Linked DNA regions of Caenorhabditis elegans. The protein of the gene in region 1 interacts with the protein of each later gene in a pairwise test. Each region holds a gene or a part of one and is shown on either strand. Other genes may lie near its edges. The genes, in order: C24A3.2 and tars-1.

Evidence for each region.
Region 2: the proteins of C24A3.2 (region 1) and tars-1 interact in a two-hybrid assay, tested with the Caenorhabditis elegans proteins (one large-scale study listed by BioGRID).

What each region holds. Positions count from the first base shown.
Region 1 is NC_003284.9:8,995,574-8,999,614, forward strand, and holds C24A3.2 (Neuropeptide-like peptide 36), read left to right. Parts: upstream 1-1,926; 5' UTR 1,927-1,927; coding exon 1,928-2,080; intron 2,081-2,545; coding exon 2,546-2,583; coding exon of another isoform or gene 2,584-2,614; exon of another isoform or gene 2,615-2,707; intron 2,708-3,025; coding exon 3,026-3,056; 3' UTR 3,057-3,286; downstream 3,287-4,041. Other genes in the region: C24A3.1 (Kinesin-like protein), read left to right, coding at 3,498-3,556.
Region 2 is NC_003280.10:11,690,543-11,695,944, forward strand, and holds tars-1 (Threonine--tRNA ligase, cytoplasmic), read right to left. Parts: upstream 3,752-5,402; 5' UTR 3,722-3,751; coding exon 3,602-3,721; intron 3,536-3,601; coding exon 3,206-3,535; intron 3,155-3,205; coding exon 2,177-3,154; intron 1,850-2,176; coding exon 1,548-1,849; intron 1,498-1,547; coding exon 1,248-1,497; intron 1,202-1,247; coding exon 1,004-1,201; 3' UTR 787-1,003; downstream 1-786. Other genes in the region: kel-1 (BTB domain-containing protein), read left to right, coding at 84-786, 4,238-4,384, 4,434-4,512, 4,566-4,669, 5,402-5,402.

The DNA.
Region 1 (4,041 bases):
TTGAGGCCCCCGTCACCCTCTTCTCTCAGAATATATTGATCCCTCCCGCATCTTCTTTTCGGAGCAAGCTTATTCTCCATCGTCTACTCCTTCTTCTTCTTCTTCTTCTTCTTCTTCTTCTTCTTCTTCTCCCTTCTCTATGAACTCGGCAGTGTTGGAAGGAGGATGAAGCCACTGCCGCCACCGCCGTTAGGCTGTAGGAGAAGGGGGGTCCCGGCTATTTTCTTTTTCTTCGACTACCGCTGGGGTCTCGTTTTCTTTGACGCCGCTTCTCTTGGTCCCTTACTACCAAGATATCTGCGTCTCAAAGGCTTGAACTATCTCTCTCCGAGTTCCGATTTCTCGAGAGTTACGCTCCAAAGTCAGTTGTTGTGCGTTCTTCGTCATCTGGATATCGCAAATTGCCCTGTTGTGTATTTTAGTACTTTTACCTGAAGACGCATTTATATTTTCCCAAACTGCAAAAAAAAAAGAGTAGACGTACTTGTCTTAGTTAAAACTTCAGCTGTTGTTAATTTGGAACAAAAGACGTCTGAATATGCGCTAAAAATGTCAATCAACACCGATGAAAGTTTTGCAAAAATTATTCAGATTTTTTATTTTTAATCTTCTCATTCAAACTTGACATACTTATTGTTAGAAAAATATTAGGATGCAGCATTAATATCAGTTATGTGTATGCTTCTTTTCAACGTTATTGAAAAACCAGGAATATTTTCATTTTTCCGGTGTTTGATGTTACGGTCCTAACTGTAAAGATCTATAGAGTTTATAAATTTTTTTACTCGATTTAACTTTTTTCTTTTCAAGCAATCCAAAAAAATTCTACACGCAATAAGAAAAGTTAAAAATTTAAATGTAGAAATTTATTTGTGAGGTTTTTTACAATTACTTTTTGAAAAAGTTTGTCAAGCTTGCTCGAAAATTTAGTAAAGCCAACAAACATAAACATAGACACCCTTTTCTCATTCGAGATGTCTTTTGTCTCTCTTCTTTTATCACAACAAAAAACATAGGGGGGACGTTTTGTTCTTTCTTTTTCCATGCATTTTTCCTATTTTTCCTATTTTTCCTTCGCCTCTTCAGCCACATACTTTTTTCAATTCTTTCCCAGATTGAAAAAAAGAGCAGAAAACCTTTTCCGTTTCTTCAATGTCGAAGACTTGCTTTTTTCAATTCAATTTTCCTTCTTTTCCCTTATTCTCCCATCCTTCTTTCCTTCTCCATTTGGTGTTTTTGGGTTTTCGAATTTACTCTACAAAAAACTCACAAAATGAGTTGGACTTCTTCCACAATGGGTTTCAAAGAGAAAAAAGTAAAAGACAAAATTCAACAAAATTGTGCAATGCCTACTGTTTGTGCTTTTGCTCCTCCTTACCTCCTCGGCTCTTTTTGCCACTGTTTGCTAAGTAAGCCGAGCTGCTTCTCAAGACATTGGGAAAAATTCGACAGAAGGTATCGCGAAAAACTACACTAAAATTTGCTCGAAATTTTGCTCCGAAATTAGTTGTCAGTCGAGTTGCGCTTGGGTCTTGGGTTTGCAGTTCATCTCTCCTTTTGCTTTCAAATTCAAAACGCTGTGCAGCGCGCCTCTCTCTCCATGGCTCACCCACTTTCCCTTTTTGCCGCAAATGGTGTGCTCCGTAGAGCATTGGCCAGTACGAGACCAGCATTTTCAATTTCTTTTCTTTCTGTTCATGTGAACCCTTCATTTTGAACACATCACCTTTTTCCATTTATCCAAAGAACGGCTTGCACCACGTTCCAAAAATGTATTCCCGTTAGAATGGCTTGTTTTTTTTTGTTTCGCCGTTAATCTTTCAAAAAAAAAGTTCACAAAAAAATTTAAAAATTATAAACTTTGCTTTATTATATTTTCCTTTCTTTTTTAACGTTTGGAAACCGTTCTCACGGTTTAATTTTCAGAATGGTCGACTTGAAGCAACAACTCCAATGGATTGACTACTTGGGTGTGGTTGCCGTGTGGCTCTGCTTCTTCGGTGCCATTTTAGTGATTTCCATCACCTGCATCCTGTGGTGCTGCGTATCGAAAGACGACGATCCAACTGTGTTTGCCAAGGTTTGTTATTTAAAAAATCTGTCTCAATTCGATTCGTTCTCTGCACATCCGCCGTCTCGTGTGAGGAGAGAAAGATCAGTGACGTCAACAGCACTTTATAGCTCATTGAGAAAAAATTTTTAGGAGACTAATAACTTTTTGGTGGAATTGTAATTGTAAAAAGTGTGATGCTTATAGGACAGTTGAGTGGTGAATTGTGAAATTTTATGGGAGAAGAAAAATGACGTCAGTGCGCGTCACTAAAAGAGTATGCATAAGAGGGCTCCGACACTCTTTGTTTAATTTGTTTGTTAAGAAAATGGGAGATGCATAAGAAAATAGAACATTAGTACGAAATGTTGATCAAATTCAACAACGGAATGGTTAATGAAAATTTTGAAATAGCCTTAGAGTGTAAATTAGATTAGGATCTGATGTTGAATTGTAGGAAATGTTTTTAAAAAAACTCAACAAAATATTTTTCAGTACGGATTCGGACCACAGCCACGCATTCCATCTCAGAGGTTGGCAGCTCAAGAGGCCAAGGCTGAATAACTTGCTTCTCACCTCTTCTGCTCATCTAACACCGTTTTCCCCCCATCTTCAAATAGATTCTTTACCCTATGTAGTTGTGTAACTTATGTTTCGGTAGGTAGATTGGTTTTCAAACTCAAAACTGCAATTTTGAGGAAAAAAGAAAACAAAAGAAATATTTAAATGTGAAACAGATGTATAATACAAAATAACTTATTGAAATCAATTTTTCAAGTCACAAAACAATATGGCTTTAATTACGCTAAATTTTGATTTTTCAGGTATCTTTTGAAATTATCTAGTTAATAATTTTTCAAATTTGCAAAATTTATCTAACACAATTTTTCAACTTTTTTGTTGCTAACATCTTTTGTTGAAGTTTCGATTTCCCAAAAAAAGACACCACAAAACATAATTAAACAATTATTCCAGATCAAAGTTGGAGGTGGATAAAGATTTCTAGATCAAAATCAAGACCAAGATCATCGAAAATGGTTCATGTCGATCGCCTTCTCTCCTCATTCCTTTTTTATTTTTTATTTTCAATTTAAAGTTCATCTCTGAATCAAAACTAACAAACAATTTTTTGTATTGATTTCTATGCAATTAACGTTTTACAATTATAGTGTTTGAATTCTTCATTTACCCATCACCATCTCTCGTTTTTTTTTAATGAATACATAGTTTTTTCTGGTTCACTTTACTTTCTCCTCCTTCTCACAGCTTATTGGAAATAATAAAGTTGCCAACAAAAAAAAAGGGATTTTTGAAAACAAAAGATGTTACGTATGAGGGTGGTCATAGCAACTTTCAGAGAAAACTGTTGCTAGGCGTGAAGCGTGCGGCGTTGCGAAAAAAAAGGAAAAGTAGGAAGAAAACGTCTAGTGTTTGGATCTTGAAAATAATGTCGCGACGACCTAGAGGAACACGAGATACTGCTAAGGATATTATTCTTGGACTAGCGTGAGTTTTCTTCAAAAAAACAATACATTTAATAGAAAACACATAAATTAATTTTTGGTTCAAAATTATTCTCTTTTTTTTGAAAACAAAACAGAATATGTTGAAAGGCATAATTTTCAAAATCCATATGTGAATTTTATTTTTTAATTAGGCTTTAATGTTTTTAATACACAAAAGTATTCATTTTTCATTTTTGTCTTCTATTTTGTGATTCATTTCTTATTAATTGAGTACACAGAGTTTGGTTTCTGTAGCTTTTGAAAACAGTGAAAAAATGCTCAGAAATGACTTATTCCATAGTCAGGGCTTTCCAATTACCAACCTTTTTTTACTCATCTAATCATTTTATTGAGCCACAAATCTTCATTTTTAAGATGTTTGATTGGGACAAAAGAGTTTCACCGTGGTTATAGCTATTTTCTTGAACACACATATTTTTTTGATGACAATGAAAAACATTATAAGAGCAGCAGCACTATTTGTGA
Region 2 (5,402 bases), on another chromosome or scaffold:
AAAAGCGCAGACTTTTTCGCATTTGACAAAAATTTGTCGTGGCGAGACCTTGAAACAAAAATCAAATGAATAAAAACTTTCAGACTAATGTCAAATGTTCGCCTGCCATTGCTGGGTGATGATTATCTTTTCGAAAAATGGAGAAATGACGAGATGATCAAAAGTGATGCGGCTTGTCTAAACGTGATCATCGAAGGAATGCATCAGCTGAAAATCACGAAGCAAGACATTTCCAGCACGGAGCCCCACTATCCGATTCAGGAGCTCAACCGAAAATGGTTCGTCGCCCGTGAACCCATGCCAGAATCCCAGCACATAATGATCGTCGGTGGGCAGGCTCCAAAAGCGATCACCAACGTCGATTTGTTCGATCCTGATAGCCAACTCTGGAGCTCGTGTGCATCCCTTCCACAGAGAAGGTGCCGAAGTGGAGTGAGCATGTGCAATGGTTACGTGTACACCACTGGCGGGTTCAATGGAGCACAGCGGGTGAGATCCGTGGATTTCTATGATCCACGAACCGATACATGGCGTTCCGCGAATCAGATGAGTGCTCGCCGATCCACTCACGGGATAACCACGTGTCAACAGGTGTTGTATGCAGTTGGGGGATTCGATGGAACTACCGGGCTTGCGAGTGCAGAATATTTCGATCCACACACAGGAAATTGGTTTCCACTTCCATCAATGAGCACGAGAAGATCAAGTGTTGGAGTGGCAGCGTTCGAAGAGGATATCTATGCGATTGGGGGATTCGATGGTGTCTCAAAGCAATGCCTGAATACGGTTTGTTTTACTTCATGAGAAACACTGGTGGGAAATGGGGAGTAAAAGAAAAACCGAAGAAATAAAATAAAAAACAAACAAATATATAAAGCAATACCGAAGAGGATAACAATCAGGGAACACAAAAATTAACTGGAATTCAATGCATTAGAAGACGTGGGCGCGTGGGGGGAACCAATAAATACTATAATTATAAAATTATCAACGAACAAGAAGTTTATGCCCATTCCTCAGACTTTTCCGTGTCGGCGACATACTCGTCAGCAAATCTTCTGAACTTTGAGATAAGCTTGTCGAGTGCGACCTCTCCTCGAACTGCGTTGTCCCTGGTGCGCACATTTACTGTTCCGTTCTCTTTTTCTTTGGCTCCAATGACGAGAATGAAGTTGAACTGGGCAAGCTGGGCCTTTCGGACCTAAAATTTTAATATTGAAATATCTTAAGAATGGAGTTAAATGTACCTGCTTATTCATCGTGTCACCACAATTCTCCTCATACTCAATCTCAAATCCGGCCTCGAAGATCTGCTTTTTGACGTCATTTGCATAGTCTCTGACTGACTCGTGAACAGTGATGATTTTACATTGCCTTGGTGAGAGCCAGAATGGCCATTTTCCTCCATAACTTTCAGTGAGAATAGCTGTCATCCGCTCAACTGATCCAAGAACAGCACGATGAATCATGACTGGTCTCTGCTTTTCTCCCTTCTCGCTGAAAAATTGAAAATTAAATTTTTTTAGATTTTAGAGTTTTTTTCTCACTCGAAATAGGAAAGATCAAATTGATTCGGAAGTTGGAAGTCAAGCTGAATTGTGGCGCACTGGAAGTTTCTCTTGAGAGCATCTTGAATGGTGATATCGATTTTCGGTCCGTAGAATGCTCCATCTCCCGGGTTCAACACCCATTTTCTGCCTGAAGCGTTGAGCGCATTGGTGAGATCTGCTTCGGCCTTGTCCCATGTTTCGATGTTTCCAAGGAATCCTTCTGGTCGTGTCGAGAGGTTAAGCTTGAAGGTGAAGCCGAACACTTTCTCGTAGGCGTACTCGAGGAAGTCGAGGCATTGCTGAAATTTTGTTGGTTTTTTTTTCATTAAAAAGGCAATTTTTCCCTGATTCCGAACATCTAGGTTTGTGAAAATTTTTAAATATGCCTTTCATTTGACGCCATTTGTCGATTTACGTGATTTTTTTTTTCGTGACAATTTATTATATTTAACTAACTGAAAACCGGAAAATTTTGCTGGATTTTTATGTTAATTTAAAAGAAAAAAACCGACGAAAATGAAGAAACATTGAACAACTGATATCGGAATTTTAAAAAATTCTCGTAAATCGACTTTGGGACATTTTTAAAACAATAATTTTTCACTCGGAATCAGAAGCAGAAATACCTTGATCTCCTCGGAAATTTGATCTTGACGACAGAAAATGTGAGCATCATCTTGTTGGAAGCGACGAACACGTGTAAGTCCAGTCAAAGCACCAGACATTTCATTTCTGTGCAAAACTCCAAAATCAGCGAATCGGAATGGAAGCTCATTGTAGGTGTGTGGCATGTGTCCGAACATGAGACAATGCCCCGGGCAGTTCATCGGCTTCAAACCGAACTCTTCCTTCTCCACCTCGATCTTGAACATATCCTCCGAATAATGCTGCCAATGACCGGAAGTCTCCCAGAGCTTTTTGTTGTACATATTTGGAGTGATAACCTCGGTGAAACCGCGTCGTCTGTACTGCTTTCGGATGAAATCGACGAGCTTATTGTAGATATGTGCTCCTTTCGGATACCAGAACGCCGATCCCGGAGAAAGTTGATGAAAGAAGAAGAGATCATGTTCTTTTCCGAGTTTACGATGATCTCGCTTCGCGGCTTCTTCTTGAAGTTTCTGCCACTCTTTAAGTTGCTTTGAATCGGGGAACGAGATTCCATAAAGTCTCTGCAAGGACTCAGCGTCGGCTTTTCCCTCCCAGTAAGACGATGAATTCTTGGTGATTGCCATGGCCTTGACTTTTCCGGTGTGACGGACGTGGGGGCCACGGCACAAGTCAATGAGGGGTCCACATCGATAGACGGTGGTTTTTGGAGTGTGAATCTTTTCCGTGATAATTCTGACTTTGAACTCATTGTACTTGAACATTTCCAGCAGATCCTCTTTTGTCATTTCAAGACGCTCGAACTTTTGCTTATCTTTTACTGCGGCCTTTACGATTTGATCGATCTTCGGGAAATCATCAGGGCAGATTGTGCGGTTCTCATGCCACATATCATAGTAGAAACCTTCTTGGATTGGTGGTCCGTAGCAAAGATGACCTCCACAATAACGCTCCATAGCCTCTCCGAGAACGTGAGCAGAAGAGTGCCAGAAAACCTGAAATTAAATTGATAATTATTTCCATAAAAAACTAAACAAAAAACTCACTTGCTTAGCCTCATCATCATCAAACTTCAAGAGCTCCAACTTTGCATTTCCTTCAAATGGACGATCCAAATCCCACACAGCTCCGTTGACTTTTGCGATGACGGCGGCCTCGGCGAGTCCCTTGGAGATTCTCTCGGCGATTTCGAATGGAGTAGTACGCCATGTCTTTCCCTCGTGGATCTTTCCGTCGGGAAGAGTGATCTGAATTGGCTCAGACTCTTTGGCAGCAATTTCAGCGTCGTATTCCGCCTTCAACTTGTCCCAAAGTTTGATTCTCTCCTCAATGAACGCCGGCCATGGCGCCATATCGGTTGGGGCCTTCGACATTTTCTGAAATTAAAAAAATTAAATTAGTGAATAACTCAATTCTTAAAGTTTATACGGAAAAGTACGTACGTGGCCGTTCACAAAATGATATTTATCAGAAGCCTCGGAAGAAAGCGAGCGATAAAACGGTTTGAAGATTTGTGTCGGTTTTTGAATGTGAACAAATATCCGGAAACAGTTCAATCGCATCTAACGATTCCCATAAGAAGCTGCGCGTACCTTAAATACAATAAGTAAATTTTTATTTCGAAATACTATTAAAGCATGACGGAAAGTGATGCAATGCTTCGACGTGGCGTTCAATACTACTGAGCAAAATAGCGAAATTTACGGGAGAGGCAGAGTGCACAGAGGAGAGGAAAAAGTAAAAAAGAGGAAAAATTCGATTTTACTGGATTAACATTGACTTTAAAGGTAGTAATACCGACATTTTAAAAAGAAAACTCGAATTATAGCCTAAAAAAATTAAAATTTTCATCGAAAAAACTAGAAATTCCCTGCAAAATACTTATGAAAAGCATGGAAATAGGGAAAAGTCTGCAGAAATTGAGATTTAGCGGCGCACGAGAAACGCGTCAGCCCCTTGGTGCGTTTTGTGGTGAGCTGACGCACTTGCTGAATTATAGTGGTAAATAAATTCCAAACTATATTCTTCGGTTTAATAGTAGAAAAATACGTCGATAAATGAAACACCGCACTTTTTAGGTAGAAATTTTCGATCGAAGAGCTCACAAATGGCGTCCAGGGCCTGCAATGCTGAATGTCAGATCAGGAGCTGGCGTCACTGTGTACGATAAGAAAATTATAGCAGTAGGAGGACATAAAGGGGCAGAAATTCACCGATCAGCAGAGGTAGGAATGGGAAAAATTATATTTTACTCCAAAAAAGTCGATAATTTAGATATTAATCGGAGAGGAATGGATTGAGCTCGCCAATATGGCAATTCCGAGAAGAAATACCGCAGCTACAGCTTTGAACGGTAGAATTAATAATTTTAAATCATATTTTTAAATAGTAATAGCATTTTTGCAGGTCTTCTCTATGCTGTGGGTGGCGACGACGGCTCGAGCAATCTGTCAACAATAGAATGTATTCAGCTGAGTGACAGGTCAGACGCGCAGTGGAAAATCGTCGATGTAAGCATAATATTACAAAGAAAAAGTAGTAAAATTTGACGGGAAAAGTGATTTTTGACCAAAGAAAATAGATTTTCTTTCAAAAATCCCGCATTGAAAACTGGTCTCCGCGAGACCCAGCTAGAAAGTAATATGCGCCTTTAAATAGGTACTGTAGTTAATTTTCAATTTTTAAAAATTGGGTTTTCACAATTTTAATTTTCTTTGACAATTTTTGTTTTGATAAAACATAATATTACAAGAAAATACATTAAATACTGACCGAAAAATACTACTTACTGAGTGAGAAAAATTCAATTCTATTTAAAAATTTCCACTATGAAAGCTGGTCGCTGTGAGACCCACCTGAAACAGTGTTAGGCGCCTTTAAATAAAATACTGTAGTTAAAATCTCATTTTGAGACCCGAAGAACTCGGGGGATGTCCAACTGGGGGGATTACCAACTCGGGGGATTGGCCCCGCCCACAGAACCGTGGCTTGCAATACGCCCATTTCTGCAACTGCCGCACGGTTTTAAAACTGTATTTTTCTCAATAGAGCGAGAATTAACAAGAAAAAATGATTTTAAAACCGTGCGGCAGTTGCAGAAATGGGCGTATTGCAAGCCACGGTTCTGTGGGCGGGGCCAATCCCCCGAGTTGGTAATCCCCCCAGTTGGACATCCCCCGAGTTCTTCGGGTCTCCTCATTTTAAAACATGTTTTGTTATTTAATTTCCGTTTTTTTTTTCAGG